3 linked regions of the Arabidopsis thaliana genome follow. The protein of the gene in region 1 purifies or fractionates together with the protein of each later gene. This does not show direct contact. Each region holds a gene or a part of one and is shown in the gene's direction. Other genes may lie near its edges.

The links. The genes of interacting proteins can lie anywhere in the genome.
Region 2: the proteins of SPDS1 (region 1) and AlaAT1 fractionate together in Arabidopsis thaliana (co-fractionation; one large-scale study listed by BioGRID). This does not show direct contact.
Region 3: the proteins of SPDS1 (region 1) and ALAAT2 fractionate together in Arabidopsis thaliana (co-fractionation; one large-scale study listed by BioGRID). This does not show direct contact.

The regions. Positions count from the first base shown.
Region 1 is NC_003070.9:8,418,711-8,423,264, forward strand, and holds SPDS1 (spermidine synthase), read left to right. Parts: upstream 1-1,699; coding exon 1,700-1,868; intron 1,869-1,961; coding exon 1,962-2,038; intron 2,039-2,129; coding exon 2,130-2,252; exon of another isoform or gene 2,253-2,907; coding exon 2,908-3,012; intron 3,013-3,108; coding exon 3,109-3,181; intron 3,182-3,280; coding exon 3,281-3,352; intron 3,353-3,457; coding exon 3,458-3,653; coding exon of another isoform or gene 3,654-3,657; intron 3,658-3,737; coding exon 3,738-3,861; intron 3,862-3,948; coding exon 3,949-4,014; downstream 4,015-4,554. Other genes in the region: AT1G23830 (uncharacterized protein), read right to left, coding at 4,293-4,554.
Region 2 is NC_003070.9:5,920,729-5,926,937, forward strand, and holds AlaAT1 (alanine aminotransferas), read left to right. Parts: upstream 1-1,603; 5' UTR 1,604-2,042; coding exon 2,043-2,264; intron 2,265-2,863; coding exon 2,864-2,914; intron 2,915-2,992; coding exon 2,993-3,043; intron 3,044-3,131; coding exon 3,132-3,197; intron 3,198-3,274; coding exon 3,275-3,336; intron 3,337-3,422; coding exon 3,423-3,501; intron 3,502-3,578; coding exon 3,579-3,683; intron 3,684-3,771; coding exon 3,772-3,882; intron 3,883-4,010; coding exon 4,011-4,148; intron 4,149-4,243; coding exon 4,244-4,439; intron 4,440-4,532; coding exon 4,533-4,687; intron 4,688-4,797; coding exon 4,798-4,872; intron 4,873-4,952; coding exon 4,953-5,156; intron 5,157-5,248; coding exon 5,249-5,365; 3' UTR 5,366-5,672; downstream 5,673-6,209. Other genes in the region: AT1G17285 (uncharacterized protein), read left to right, coding at 1-384, 490-559; AT1G17300 (uncharacterized protein), read left to right, coding at 6,176-6,209. UniProt on the Arabidopsis thaliana protein: Is the major alanine aminotransferase in roots that catalyzes the conversion of alanine to pyruvate. Involved in the rapid conversion of alanine to pyruvate during recovery from low-oxygen stress.
Region 3 is NC_003070.9:27,231,780-27,237,326, forward strand, and holds ALAAT2 (alanine aminotransferase 2), read left to right. Parts: upstream 1-1,695; 5' UTR 1,696-1,857; coding exon 1,858-2,070; intron 2,071-2,333; coding exon 2,334-2,384; intron 2,385-2,487; coding exon 2,488-2,538; intron 2,539-2,655; coding exon 2,656-2,721; intron 2,722-2,799; coding exon 2,800-2,861; intron 2,862-2,950; coding exon 2,951-3,029; intron 3,030-3,119; coding exon 3,120-3,263; intron 3,264-3,318; coding exon 3,319-3,429; intron 3,430-3,499; coding exon 3,500-3,637; intron 3,638-3,710; coding exon 3,711-3,906; intron 3,907-3,985; coding exon 3,986-4,140; intron 4,141-4,225; coding exon 4,226-4,300; intron 4,301-4,384; coding exon 4,385-4,588; intron 4,589-4,675; coding exon 4,676-4,792; 3' UTR 4,793-5,010; downstream 5,011-5,547. Other genes in the region: PUM23 (pumilio 23), read right to left, coding at 88-451, 548-801; AT1G72340 (NagB/RpiA/CoA transferase-like superfamily protein), read left to right, coding at 5,038-5,523.

The DNA.
Region 1 (4,554 bases):
TGGCGTATAAGAGACTAAAAGAGAGTGTATAGTTTCTTTTGTTGAGGTTTCTTTGATATCAAATGTTTTTTCACTAAATAAATATTTCCTCGTTACCAAGAAGACATGAGATTTGGGCCGTGTAGATATTTTTTGGGTCGTGTTTGCATAAGAAACTGAGAGGGGAAACACTAAAAAAACAGAGTTCAGCTAGAAACAAAAACAGAGAGGAAGAGAGCCCAAACTTACGCCTGGCCAAAAAATACAGAGCAAAACAAACAAAGTCAAGTAATTCTAATAACAAATATATTTTCTAATTTAAGTAAACCTTATATGAATTACGAAATTGATAATAAGATTTTATAGAAAAAAATTAAATTCAATATTTATATCTCTAATTTAAATATGTTTTGTATATTTTTTAAAACAAGATTTGGACTAAATTAATACAAATATCTGCATTCTAATCATAAAACTTTCTCATCATATGTCTTTAATTTATAGAAAGCTTTTAAATTTCATTTTCACAGATTTTACCAATTATATACTTTTGCAACTAAAAAAACCAGAAGACTGCAGTGTAAAAGCTAATGCTAAGATTTTACTAATTATCTGCTCAATACAAACACAAATCGATAATAAAGCTCTTTACATACAAACACCGGATTCTACTATCGATGATGCGGATGCGGTTACATACATCAATGCTGTGAAGGAAGCATTTCATGATGAACCTGCCAAGTATGACGTGTTTTTAAAGCTCTTTACTGACGTTCGCGTCCATATATAGATATGAGTTGTTTTCTCTCTTGTTATGTTTGGCATGCTCATCATTTCATAAGTACCAATCCACAGAACAAACACACTACGTGAACTGATCCTGATGTTACTAAGGTCTCTTTTTGTAGAGTGTATGTCGCTAGTGACATTTCTAGAACGAAGGAACTCATCAAAGATCACGAGAATCTGCTTCTTCGTTTAAATGCCTTCCTTTCCAGCTGAGACTCAGAGAGTCCTACATCCCAATATTGAGCAACGGGCTGCATCTGATGATAACAAAAGAAGTTCCTTGTAGACTGACAAAACATAAGCACCTATGTGCTTTGATTGAGCTTTGAACCCACAAGAGCCAAGATTTAGCTAATACTACATATGAACCAATTGCTTCCTCTACTAGGAGCTGTACCAAATCTTATTATCACTGTACAAAGTTTCATATTGTTAAAAACTAATTTACACAAGATTACTTACAACAAATAAAGTTAAAACAAAAATAGATTATAGAGTTTGGAATTGGTAACTAAACCAATTGAGAGAACATGGAAATAACATTCTCTAGTCTAGTCCGTCCATGTTTGGTGGTGGTACAGTATGAGAATTTTGCACGTGAGAAAGCGCGTGTGCTAAAAAGCGAGTGAGCATTAAAGACACGAATAAAAAACCAGACATAAAAAGCCAAAAAGTTTCTCTTTAAAAAACCATTAAAAAGGACCCAAAAGTTAAAGAAACGATATATTCGAGGCAAAAGTAGAATTATCATCACATAATAATTTCGCTACGTTGAAAAAAAAGTGAATAAAAAAATGAAATGATATTTTCAGTTGTACGCTCTTCTCTTCCTTATATCTTCCGCTTCACTTCACACCAAAATCACCACCTCTCACAAACCCTAGTTCCTCCTCTCTCTCATTTCTCGGAGATATTCACCAGAGCAATAACCATGGACGCTAAAGAAACCTCTGCCACCGATTTGAAAAGACCGAGAGAAGAGGATGATAACGGCGGCGCCGCTACCATGGAGACGGAGAACGGAGATCAGAAAAAGGAACCTGCTTGTTTCTCCACTGTTATTCCTGGGTGGTTCTCTGAAATGAGTCCTATGTGGCCAGGTCTTGTTTCCTTCCTCTCTCTCTCTCAAAAAACAAATTCTGGGTTCTTAAATTAAAAAGCTGATTTTTTTTTTCATTGGTTTGATGATGCAGGAGAGGCACACTCATTGAAGGTTGAGAAAGTTTTGTTTCAAGGGAAATCAGATTATCAGGATGTTATTGTTTTCCAGGTAACAAAAATAAGAATCATTTCTCTGTTTTTTCCTAACTTATTTGTCTGTGATTATACTTATAAAGACTTGTTTTTTATGTGTTGGTTAGTCTGCAACATATGGAAAAGTTTTGGTTTTGGATGGAGTAATCCAACTTACGGAGAGAGATGAATGTGCTTATCAGGAAATGATCACTCATCTTCCTTTGTGTTCTATCCCTAACCCTAAGAAGGTATACAATCAATCCTTTTGCTAGATTCTGTGACCTTGATTGTGTTGTGTTGTGGGTAATCAAAAGTTTATAGCTTTGGAATGTAATGAAAGGTCTTTCTTGAAGTTTGCATTTTTCTTCTCCGGTAAAGTAGGATGATGAAATCATTAGTTATGGAGAAATAGAGAAACCAGAGTTCCTTTTATTAGATGTGTATATAGAAACTACTTGAGTTGGCATTAATGATTACATTCCAGGGTGGTGATAGGAATGTCCACTAGAGAAAAGGTTCATGATCACCATTTTTTGCTTTTTATATGTACAAACTTTGATGGCCTCCTGAGAAAAAAAGGTACATAGTCCCATGTTCCCTTCTGGCAAAGTTAGAGAACTCAAGTAACTTTATTGGGTTATAATAATGATTCGGAAGAAACTTATTTCAATGGGCTTAAATGATTAGTCTTTAGCTTGTTATTGGGGGACTTGGTTCAGAAAAGGTTAGATAATCAAGCTTCTTACATTCAGAATTGCTTTTGCTCCCAAGTATCAGAATTGGGTAGTCTAACTATTTTGGGTTATGGTAAAGTGGGTCAGCTAAAAATGCTGTTTTTGCTTTTAGCTAGTAAAGCTATAAGCCAGAGTGTATCTGATCAATGCCTTTCTAGTTCTTCCATAGGTTTTGGTCATTGGAGGAGGAGATGGAGGTGTCCTGCGGGAAGTTGCACGCCATGCTTCTATTGAGCAGATTGACATGTGTGAAATTGATAAAATGGTGGTCGACGTGAGTGGTCACTTACTTTTCACCTTTCCTTCTTCTCTATTTCGATAGATAAATACCTTGTTATCTAATTTGTTTCCACCTACTGGTAATTTTCAGGTGTCTAAGCAATTTTTCCCTGATGTAGCAATTGGATATGAGGATCCTCGCGTGAACCTTGTCATTGGCGATGGTACAATACTGCCGCTTTTTTCTCTCTTTCTGAAACATTATGTAGTTATGTTGAACACATTTTGCCGTTTCAAACTGATCGGTTGGTGAATCGTTGCAGGTGTTGCTTTCTTGAAGAATGCTGCTGAAGGATCATACGATGCAGTTATTGTTGACTCTTCAGATCCAATCGGTAACTACTACAATCAGATGTCATCAGATGTCATCAGAAACAACATTATTCCTTACTGTTATGTTGAACAATACTAAAAAGCAGCCTTTACTTATTGTCTGTCAGGTCCTGCAAAGGAGCTGTTTGAGAAACCCTTCTTCCAATCTGTGGCTAGAGCTCTTCGTCCTGGTGGAGTTGTGTGCACTCAAGCTGAAAGCTTGTGGCTTCACATGGACATCATCGAAGACATTGTTTCCAACTGCCGTGAGATCTTCAAGGGTTCTGTGAACTATGCTTGGACCAGCGTTCCAACATACCCCAGGCATGTTTAATGACCTTTAACATCAATCTCTCTCCTTTTTGGGTGATTATAACTTAACCTGAATCACACTTTTCTTATTTTCAGTGGGGTCATTGGATTTATGCTTTGTTCAACTGAAGGACCTGATGTTGACTTCAAACACCCACTGAACCCAATTGACGAGAGCTCCAGCAAATCAAATGGACCTTTGAAGTTTTACAATGCCGAGGTAAGATAAAAATCTCTCAGTATACCATTTCATGCGGTCTACACACTCGAATCATTAGCTTATGCTCTCATTTCTTGGGGGTTTCAGATTCATTCAGCTGCATTCTGCTTGCCTTCTTTCGCCAAGAAGGTCATTGAGTCAAAAGCCAATTGAAAAGGGAAAGAAAACTAATCTGGAGGATCGTTGAATTTATCAAAAAATAAAAGCTTTTTACAGTTTTTAGAATGTTCTGTTGTTTCACTCATGTTTCTGTAACACAATGCAAGAGCGACTATGTCTTCTTTTAGCATTACACATTCGCATAGTAGCAAATCCTATTTACAACATGTTCTTATGCTTTTGCGTTGAAGCTGAGAAGTCTAATAACCTTTCTGCTTTTATACCATTTATTATAAAGATTCACACTTTGAATTGATCTCAGCCAAAGTCTCTTAAGCAGCAGGAGTTTTAGCTTGTTCTACATCACGCTTTTTTCTCAAAACCATAGTTTTACAATCATGGTAACAGGCAAGACAAGTCACCCATTTAAGTAAATTGCCAACACAAATCAAGCCTACATAGAAGCCAGTGTACATCACTCCATTTCCACTCGCACTGCATTTGGAGTATAAACATGGCATCCTTGTCGCAAGACCGAAGACCAAGAACATTAACATCAACCAGAGGTCACGCTTCTCATGTCCTTTTCTATAC
Region 2 (6,209 bases), 2.5 Mb from region 1:
ACATAAATCTTATTCTATAAAACCAACAAGCTTTAGAAGTCTCTCGTCTCTCTTTTCTCTAACACACATCTCCATCCAAGATTTTCTCAGTTCACAGAAAAACAGAACAAGAAAAAGTCAAGAGGTTTCAAGAGTCCTAAAGGAAATTTCAAGAAGAGAACTCAGAATGAAGAGATGCTGTTCAGTGGCTCTGGTTCTGTTACTTGTAGCTTTCTTTAGCAGCAAGTATAGTGTAGAAGGACGTTCTCTGTTAACGATGACACATTCGAGTCAAGCTGTGAGAGATTTGCCTGTAAGCAAGGAGATGAAGAAAGAGCCACTTAAGGGAGAAAATGATAGCTTCAGAAGAATCCCAAGGAGTGGCTCAAACCCTATACAGAACAAGTAAAGAAGATACGAGACACAATCTAGTTTTTCTTTTTTTTTATGTATCCCCAAAGATGAGTTTTAGGTGTAATTGACATCAAAAAGTGTTTCTTTTTGTATCAGGTGTAATCCACCGGTAGATGTTAAAGCAAGTAGGAAACAACAGCAGATCACAACATCAAGAAAACCTTAAAATTCCAGTTCTTTTTTTGTCCTTATTTAGATCCTCTACTTTCGTTTTTTTTGTAGAATAGGTACCTAGACATGTGTGCTTTTAATGCTGTAATCTACTTGAAATATATGAACTCATCTTTTAATCTTATTGATCGATCAAGATAGGATGAAAATTTAAAACGCCTCCTAGCTCGAGTAGTCTAACTTTCCAAAACTATTCTCAACCTCTTTAATCTTTTGAGTTCTTCTTCTTTTCTCTGCTTTGTGGTTTCTTTTATTTGACTTCAGCAGACTTATCCTCAGCCATAGCATGTTGTTCTCAGTGGTGCTTAAAACCTTAAATATAAAATGATCAACCTCTTTATCTATGTTCTCGGTTCTATATGCTTCAAAAATGCATCCTCAGATCCGTAAAAAATTGAAAGTTGTTCTGCAGGAAACCTCACAATATCCTGACTATTTAGCTGCCTATCTCGATATCCAGTGATTACTCCTCACTGCAAAACAGCAACAATGAAAGAAGTAATCACAGCTGTGAGCACTAGATTCCTTTTGACATGTAAGTTTGTACTTCTCTAAAACACCGATACAGATTGTTGAGATTGTTTACAAACTTTTGGACCAAGAAGAAACAAAGTGGCATCCAACACATTACTCAAAAATGACGTCGTTTTGCTGATCCCATGTATAATAATATTACTGTTATTAGGAAACGCTGAGAAAACCGCCGCCAAAATGACGTCGTTTTGCTGATCCCATGTATAATATGATGAATTTTTCCCACGAACCGGTTGGGCCGGAAGAGAGTCTCTAAACCGTAACTCGGCCCATAATGGCCAAATTTTGTCCAATTTCTAACAGCGTTTTACGCGCCGACTCCGACCAATAAAACACATGGTTTTGTCTGAATAATCCACGATCCAGAAGTTCTTTATCTCCAATTAATTGTTCATTATTATTATTAGTACCAAACTAAATTAAAAAGAAGAAGAAAAAACCACCTTCATTTATTACGACCTCTCTTTAGACAAATTTTTTGACTAAGAAAATATCATAAACGGCTAAAAGACTCGAGATTACGGATTATGGATTGAAAACACACAAAACAAAACAAAACAATAATAATAATCTCATTCCTTTGTTTGAAATTAAAAAAAAATCTCATTTACGTTTATTACATTCTTTTTTTAGATTGATTTTTCGTTGAAAAGATAAATATATAGATGGCTTTTGACAGAGTATTTGGTAAGAAAGAAAAAAAGAAAGACATTCAATATTCGTTGAAAAGGGTTTAAAGAAATCCGTTGAAAATAAAGGAAAACAAGATAAATTCTAAATCCGTGGACGGACAAAAAAATGTCAAAATCAGTGTGAATTGGAGAGAGAGAGAAGACAGGAATTGGGAAGTTTCGTCTTTCGAGCAAAACTATCGAAATCTAAATTTAGATTGAGAAACAAGCCAACAAGCTTTTTAGTATAAATCCCATACCACACAATCACAAATGCGGAGATTCGTGATTGGCCAAGCTAAAAATCTCATAGATCAGAGTCGTCGTCGTCAACTTCATCATCACAAAAATCTCAGCTTTGTCTCTCTTATTCCTCCTTTTTCTGCTCCTTCCGATTCTTCATCGCGCCACTTGTCTTCTTCTTCTTCTTCCGATATGTCTGCTTCTGATTCCTCTTCCTCTCTTCCCGTTACTCTTGACACCATCAACCCCAAGGTCCGTTTTTTTCTTAATTTTTCCTTTATTCTCGCCTTTTTGGGTTGCTGTTTGTTAGTGATTTGTGTTCTGTGTTTTGGATTATGTTTCCTCGATTGATCTGTGTCTTTTTGCAAGCTTTGATTTTGTTTTATACTCCGATGAAATTTTGTGATTTATGATTTGGTAAAGTGAAGAGCTTCGTTTAATTTCTTCGAGATTGCTCTGTACTTGATTTAGGGTTTATTGATCACCTGCTTGTGTTCTTTTTGGGCATCATGTTTCGAGTTTATGCATATTATGATTCGTATCCTCGTCTCCGCATCTTGATCATTGACCCTTGATGGATTTATTTCTTTTACGTATTATATTACTAGGTGATCCTTTGTTTATAGGACTATTTAGAATCCATTTTGTTCTTCAGCTTTTTGCGTATATTAAAAAAGTCTGTTGCTTTCTGAATTCTTCATTTTTGTTCTTCCTTGTGATTAGCTCATACTTTACAATTGAATAGTTTATTGTCGAGGAACAGTTCTGCATCTTAAATCTAGCTTTAGTGACTGATGTTTTGTTTGGTTTTTTTTATTCTAACAATATGGTTTCTTTTTGGGGGTTCTCAGGTTATCAAATGTGAGTATGCTGTCCGTGGAGAAATTGTCAACATTGCTCAGGTTAACATCTTTGTCCTTGATTGTATATTTCTAGTGGAGACTGTTTTGCTCATTTTGATTTCTGTTTCCATCTTACAGAAATTGCAAGAAGATTTGAAGACTAACAAGGACGCTTATCCCTTTGATGAGGTACGTTATAATCGGTTTAGTCCTTTTCGTGTTTTCAAGCTTGATTCTTTTCATGAGTGAAGCTTACAAGGTTCTATGTTTTTGGCAGATTATCTACTGTAATATCGGGAATCCTCAATCTCTTGGTCAACAGCCTATAACATTCTTCAGAGAGGTAAATAAGTGAGCTTTTATAGTGCTGGTTTGTTCCATATGTTAATCATGAGTTAGCTTGTAACATTTATATCTCAGGTTCTTGCTTTATGTTCCTACACAGCCCTGTTGGATGAGAGTGCAACACACGGTTTGTTCAGGTATCAAAAGTGGTTTATATGTTTCTTAGTTGTTTTGATTCTGTGGTGTAAGATTTTTTAACATTCAACTTTACAAATTTTATCAGTTCTGATTCGATTGAGCGTGCTTGGAAGATTCTGGACCAAATTCCCGGGAGAGCGACTGGTGCTTACAGCCACAGCCAGGTTTGTGGCATTGTGAATCTTGACAGCATTTCTCTCTCAATGATGATTCCCTCTCTTAATCTTCCGTTCTTCCTCAGGGTATCAAGGGGTTACGTGATGCAATTGCTGATGGAATCGAAGCCCGTGATGGTTTCCCTGCTGATCCTAATGATATATTCATGACAGATGGTGCAAGTCCAGGGGTAAGGATTATCAAACTAATCTTCTCGTAACTCGTAGAATCTGGAACACCTTGTTTTGAAGTTGACAGTGATGTTCCTCTCCTTCTAGGTTCATATGATGATGCAACTTCTCATAACTTCAGAGAAAGATGGAATCCTTTGTCCTATTCCTCAGTATCCATTGTACTCAGCTTCAATTGCCCTTCACGGTGGAACTTTGGTATGTTCGTTATCTTTGTTTATGATGATGATATCATTTTGACGCATTACTATATCAAATGGGAAAATGAATCTGTCTCCAAAGTTTCTTTTGTCTTTCTTCTCATTGTCGTCATGTTCTTCTGGTAGGTTCCATACTACCTTGATGAAGCATCAGGATGGGGTCTTGAAATATCTGAGCTGAAGAAACAACTTGAAGATGCTAGGTCAAAGGGCATCACTGTGAGAGCTTTGGCTGTCATTAACCCTGGAAACCCGACAGGGCAGGTAAATTAATCTTCAAGACTAAAACTCACAAATTTATACCGATGTGAATTTCATAGTTTCGTCTAAATTTGACCTCTGCTTTGTTCTGGTAAAAGGTTCTTTCGGAAGAAAACCAGCGTGACGTTGTTAAGTTCTGCAAGCAAGAGGGTTTAGTTCTTTTAGCAGACGAGGTTTATCAAGAGAATGTCTATGTCCCTGACAAAAAGTTCCATTCCTTCAAGAAAGTAGCCCGCTCTATGGGCTACGGTGAGAAGGATCTTGCCTTAGTCTCTTTCCAATCTGTCTCCAAAGGTTTGATACAAAAACAAATCTCTTAGTCAATTGATAATTCTGATCATTGCGATGGGAAACTAGTCAGAAAACTGAATTCATTATTTCTGACAGGGTACTATGGAGAGTGTGGGAAAAGAGGTGGTTACATGGAGGTTACTGGATTCACTTCTGATGTAAGAGAGCAGATATACAAAATGGCTTCTGTGAATCTTTGTTCCAACATCTCTGGTCAAATTCTTGCTAGCCTCATCATGAGCCCACCCAAGGTATAAAACATCTATATGACTTTATCATCACAATTGATTCAGTTTCCACCTGTTGGCTTGGACTTGCACATCGATAATTGACCTTAATAGCTTTTATTAAATTTGATCAGCCTGGTGACGACTCCTATGAATCATACATAGCAGAGAAGGATGGAATTCTCTCATCTTTGGCAAGACGTGCAAAGGTTAGCCATTTAATAGACAACTAGGAATATTCAAGATTAGAACTTTCTGTTCTTAAAGTGTTTGAACTCTAACCTTGCAGACTCTTGAAGAGGCTCTGAACAAGCTAGAGGGAGTTACATGCAATAGAGCAGAAGGAGCTATGTATCTATTCCCTTGCCTTCACCTTCCACAAAAGGCAATTGCAGCTGCTGAGGCGGAAAAGACAGCACCAGACAATTTCTACTGCAAACGCCTTCTAAAAGCTACTGGAATAGTCGTTGTCCCTGGTTCTGGCTTTAGACAGGTTTGAAAAAAAGAAATAGCTTTTTCTCCAAAGAACCAAAACTAAAACCTCACTTGCTGATATTGATTATGTCTTTGTTCGGTTTGATGTAGGTACCTGGAACATGGCATTTCAGGTGCACTATACTTCCCCAAGAGGATAAGATTCCAGCGATTGTTGATCGTCTAACTGCGTTCCACCAGAGCTTCATGGACGAGTTCCGCGACTAAGCATTCTGTTTTCAAGATCCCTCTATAGATTATATGAGTAATAATAAGAAAAAGGTCCCATGCCGTTTCTTTTTCATCGACTTTGTGTTTACAGAAGCTAAGATGTGAGAGCATTAGTTAGTGCTCTCTTTCTTATTCACTTTTTGTTCTGTTCTCTTTATAGTGAAAAACCGTAATATAAATTGAGAGAGTTTCTTATAAACGGTTAGTCAAAATGTAATCTCATCAAGAAAACACAAGATTGAACCATTGTTGAATTCCATGTTCAAAGTTTCGATTTCACAGAATCATTTTCGTTTGAAAATATAAATAACTGCATAAGATTAAAGATTGTGGAGAAAAGTAGTGATTAGTTGAGAGACAAAACAGCTGTTACCTGCAATTTATTCTTTCTGAAATTGGAGAATTACGCTAATACCTCCAAATTCCCTTAGTAAAATGTAGACAGTAGTCACGTTCTCTATTCACATGGCCACCATCTCTTAAACTTCAAAGCATGCACATGAGTTAGGTAATGTGTACTGTACATATGATAATGTAGATGCTGCTGAGTAATATCATCATCAGTAAATGATAAGGTAAGTGACTCAAAATCTGATTATTATAGCAGCAGTCAAAGTAAGATCACGTAATTAGATCCCAATAACTATTTCTTCAAACACACACAAATCTTGGTCTATAAAGCAACACGCTTTAGAAGTCTCTAGTTATCTAACTCATATCTCTATCCAAGATTGTCTCAGTTACTGTCACAAGAATAAGATACGAGCTTTCAAGAATCCTAACGGATTTACAAGAAGAGAAATCACAATGAAGAGATACTGTTCAGTGGCTCTGGTTCTGT
Region 3 (5,547 bases), about 19 Mb from region 1:
CAAAATTGAGGTCAATTACTAGACTAGAAGCAATAATCTGGATACCTTAATATGATTGTCAAAGCCAGTAAAAATTGTATAAAGTACCTTGCATATAGAATGCAAAGCCTCCTCAATAACAGAATAGGCGTCTGGATTTTCTAGATGTGTGGCCAAGGATTTGAGAGCAGACTCTGCGACATGAGAACCAGATCTATCCATTGCAATGGCTGGGAACACACTAGCAGAATTTCGTATGAAACTGCAGAGTTGGTCAAGTTCACATCCCTCAAGTAGAGTTTGCAAGACATGACTTATGATATAGTCTGTAGCAATTTCATACTCCCTCCCTCTTGTTTCTTCAAGGGCATTTCCACATATTACTGAACGTTCCTCTAATTCAACTTCATTACTATCAAAGAGATTGGCAATCTCAGAGAAATACTTTGAAGTCTCTGGATCAATCTCTTTCCTGAAAAAGATACACCCAAATCACTACCACTTCTCACAACAACAAAATTTCGACTATAAATTAGAGCAAAGGCCCTTGGTTAAAAATCTCCTTTACCTGACAAATTGATTCTGATGTTCGAATTCGGAGTGTTTCTTTGATGCTGGCTTTACATTGGGGGCACCACCGGATTGGTTCTTCTTGCTGCTATCTACATCAAATCCACGGTTACCCTTATGGTCCTTCCTACGCATTCCCTTATTCCTTTCACTGTGATTGTTACTAGACTTTCCTCGTTCACCCATCAAGCTATCTTCCTCAATGGTCCTGTGCCTCCTAGATGGCAATGATTTAGAACCAACAGAAACCATGAAAATTCCTAGCCCCAACTATGTTAAACCCTACAAAATTTACACACAAAAAAACTCAGCTTCGAAGAACTATTAGTCCCAAATTACACAATATAACAAAAAAGGGAAAGGTTCAATTTTTTCTCCAAATTTACAGACCCCAAAAATTAGGGTTTCTACCTCTACTTCAAAACGATACCATAACTGGGTTGAATAACCTAAAACATAACAATAAATTCCGAGTCCCAATTCTAAGACTTTACACTAATCCATGTGAAGCTTGTACAAAAGAACAGAAACAATAAGGTGTATCACAAACCTTTGAGGATGCAAAAACACAGTTGACGTTAGAGGAGAAACGAACAAGCGTGAGCTCAGACTAAGAACGCGGCGCAGAGACAAAACGACGTCGTCTCCGAAACTCTTGGTATACGTTGGATCAAAATCTTCGATGTTTTGACGTTGTACAAATTTTCTAATTCCTAGGGTTTTATTCTCGTCCAACCTAATACGATATCGTTTTGTTGACGTGGATATAAACAAATAATGGGCTTTAAATCACGATTTTACCGACCTTTTTAGGGCCCAATTATGTAGCCCAAAAAAAACCTCATCGTTAGCAATGTGCTGCTACATGTTGTTGTGATTTATTTAAATTTAGAGATTTCTAAAAATTTATAACTTTCAAATTAGCTGTAGGTTTTATAAGTATCTATTTATCCCCAAATTAGATTACGACTGTGATTGGATTATTCAATTTTGGTCCTTTTGGATAATTAAGTCAACGGAAGATAGACTTCAGACATCTTTTTTTGATAAAAGACATGTCTTTTTTTGGGATTAGTCGTGTGTTTAACAGATAAATCAACAAAATTAGCCGCCTAAAAAAAACCCCTACAAATATCTTCATCAATTAGATTTTCGAAAAGAAAAAACGAAAAAGCAATTTCTGAGCGTGGAGGACAAGGCAAAATTCGGTGTGCAAGGCACTGGATATTGGGACCCTTGTTTCCTCGTGAGAGAATTTTCAATCCTAGGGCTTAAAGAGCACGTTCCTAGTATAAAGCTGATTCACAGATGCGGAGATTCTTGATTAACCAAGCTAAAGGTCTCGTCGACCATTCTCGTCGTCAACATCACCACAAAAGTCCAAGCTTTCTCTCTCCTCAACCTCGTCCCCTTGCTTCTTCTCCTCCTGCTCTGTCTCGTTTCTTCTCTTCTACTTCGGAGATGTCTGCTTCTGATTCCACTTCTTCTCTTCCCGTTACTCTTGACTCCATCAATCCCAAGGTCGGTTTCTAATTCTCTAGCTGGTTTATTGCGTTTTTGAATTGTGGGTTTCAGGGTTGATCTGGATTTGTTTCTAATTTAGTAAAAAAGTTTCAATTTTTTACTGTGGTTGTCTGATTTAACGCCAAAGGTTTATCCTTTGCTTCTCGTTGTGATTCCCAACGATGAAATCGACAAGCTTTGCATAACTTCTTTGTACTTTATATTACAGAGAAGTTGGTTTTATTGTTAACTAAGAGTTTTTTTTCTTTTCCGGGGAACAGGTTCTGAAATGTGAGTATGCTGTTCGAGGAGAAATTGTCAACATTGCTCAGGTCAGAGATGCATGTGCTTTGTCTTGTAAAACCAAGAACAAAATCTGTAAAATTGTTTTTAATGCTAATTGATTTTTGTTTGCTTTTTGCTTCCATCTTACAGAAGTTACAAGAAGACTTGAAGACTAATAAGGATGCTTATCCCTTTGATGAGGTAAAATCTCTTTCTTTATCGGCAGTTTTGACGGATTTATGATTAGTTTAGTGTTGATGTTACCTGTTCTCAAACTCTTTGTGCAAGGAACTTAGAATTCTTCATTACTTTTGGCAGATAATCTATTGCAACATTGGGAATCCTCAATCTCTTGGTCAGCTGCCTATAAAGTTCTTCCGTGAGGTAAGTGAATGTTTTTGGTACTAGTTTGGTTGTCATATCAGCCACAGAGATATAACGTCTATCATCTATATGCCTCAGGTTCTCGCATTGTGTGACCACGCAAGTCTTTTGGATGAGTCTGAAACCCATGGTTTGTTCAGGTGAGGTTTTCCTTGCTATATTTCAGCTTTAGGACATGTATGCTCACGGTTTAAGATTGCTTAACATTTGATTTCTACTCTGCTATCAGTACCGATTCAATTGACCGAGCATGGAGGATTTTGGACCATATTCCCGGAAGAGCAACTGGGGCTTACAGTCATAGCCAGGTTTGTTATTAGAGTCTAGTTAAAAGTCCTAAACCCTTTCTTGAGATGGTTCTTATGTTGCTGAATGTTTCATTTTTTGTTCTGCCTCAGGGTATCAAGGGTTTACGTGATGTAATTGCAGCTGGAATCGAAGCACGTGATGGTTTCCCTGCTGATCCAAATGATATTTTCTTGACTGATGGTGCAAGTCCAGCGGTAACAATCAAAACGAAAACGTTATCTCATAGAGTTAGAGTAAGTTCTTTTAAAGGATTCATGCTAAGTGTTTTTGGTGTTTTTTACTCTATAGGTTCACATGATGATGCAACTTCTCTTGAGCTCAGAGAAAGATGGTATTCTTTCCCCGATTCCTCAGTATCCATTGTACTCGGCTTCAATTGCCCTTCATGGTGGATCTTTGGTATGTTCATATAATCATCATGGAGTAATGTTGTTTTTTGGTACAAGTTTTTGAAATTTGTACTTCTTAGGTTCCGTACTATCTTGATGAAGCAACAGGATGGGGACTGGAAATATCTGACCTTAAGAAGCAACTAGAGGAAGCTAGGTCCAAGGGCATCTCTGTAAGGGCCTTGGTTGTCATAAACCCCGGTAACCCAACTGGGCAGGTACAAACAGATTTTCAAGACTAGCCTAACAAAATGTAACATTCTTCTAATCTTGCGTTCTTATTCTGGTTAGGTTCTTGCGGAAGAAAACCAGCGTGACATTGTTAATTTCTGCAAGCAAGAGGGTTTGGTTCTTTTAGCTGATGAAGTCTACCAAGAAAATGTTTACGTCCCTGACAAAAAGTTCCATTCTTTCAAGAAAGTGGCTCGGTCTTTGGGCTATGGAGAAAAAGATATCTCGTTAGTCTCGTTCCAATCAGTCTCCAAAGGTAAAAGAACAACTTTTACTGTCCAATGCTTGTCATCTAAAAAATGGGGTTTTTGTTTTTAATATTCTTCTGTTGATAGGATATTATGGAGAATGTGGAAAAAGAGGAGGTTACATGGAGGTTACTGGATTCACTTCTGATGTAAGAGAACAGATATACAAAATGGCTTCTGTGAATCTTTGTTCTAACATCTCTGGTCAAATTCTTGCTAGCCTTGTCATGAGCCCACCCAAGGTAACACCCTAGTTCTCTCTAATCGGTTTTCGCTAAGTTCTTGCAACAGATTATGACTAAAAAGTCTAATATTGTATTTGATCAGCCTGGTGATGACTCATATGACTCATACATGGCAGAAAGAGATGGAATTCTCTCATCCATGGCTAAACGTGCAAAGGTTAGTCGAAGATTACAATACCCTCTAACGACATTTTTCAGTCTCTTTGTATATAATGTCACAAGCTTGAAAATGAACTTGCAGACTTTGGAAGACGCTCTCAACAGTTTAGAAGGTGTTACATGTAACAGAGCCGAAGGAGCAATGTATCTCTTCCCGCGAATTAACCTTCCTCAAAAGGCTATCGAAGCTGCTGAGGCTGAAAAAACTGCACCAGATGCGTTCTACTGCAAACGCCTTCTCAATGCTACTGGTGTAGTTGTAGTCCCTGGTTCTGGCTTTGGACAGGTAAAATATAACCAAATCTTCATAACTTTAAATGTCTTACAAAAGGATCGAACTTGAATAATGGGTTTTGGATTCATTGTGGTTTAGGTTCCTGGAACATGGCACTTTAGATGCACAATACTTCCACAAGAAGACAAGATTCCAGCGATAGTGAATCGTCTGACAGAGTTCCACAAGAGCTTCATGGACGAGTTCCGCAACTAAAAGGACCTGACCATGAAGATGAACTTAAAGACCCTTTTGAAGAAAAGTGTGATCAGTTTGAGTTATTAAAAAAAAGAAAACTTGTGTTTTGAATTTGATCAGGCAATTGTGATCAGCTAATTTAATTTTAGAATATTTTGTACTTCCATTCCATGGCATGTCATATGAAGATATGAAAATTAGTAAATTTATTGGGCTTATAAATGGGCCTTATATTATTAATGGGCCTTATATTTATTTTTCATATGATATTTCTGGAGAAAGCGACAGTATATTATCTTCAATTTTTCCATTTTGAAGAATTTTCTCAAGAAAAAAAAAAATCAATGTGGAGAAGATCACCGTCGTTTATTCTCGACGAGCGACGAAGCTCGAATTCACCTCCAATGGCGGATACAACACGAGGTCCTTTTCAAAACCCTGATTCCATCTCCGCTTATTACCAAACTCGCGCGGCGCATCACGGTGTCATTACAAGCGACTGGCTAGCCCAAGCTCAAGCCGCCGTTGGCGGCGTCTCAGGCGATGCCCAGCATGACTTATCCGTAACTGATCTCGGGAACGAGAAGTCGTTTAATGTAATTGAAGAGTTCAATAACTGGAGAAAACAACCGGATCTGGCTGAAGCCGTCGCGGCTATACGAGCTTTGGCTGCTGTTATTCGTGCGAGCGAAGCGAGCACCATGATGGAGCTTGAAATTGAGCTCAAAAAGGCTTCTGATACACTCAAGGTGAGAATTCATTTTTCACTTTCT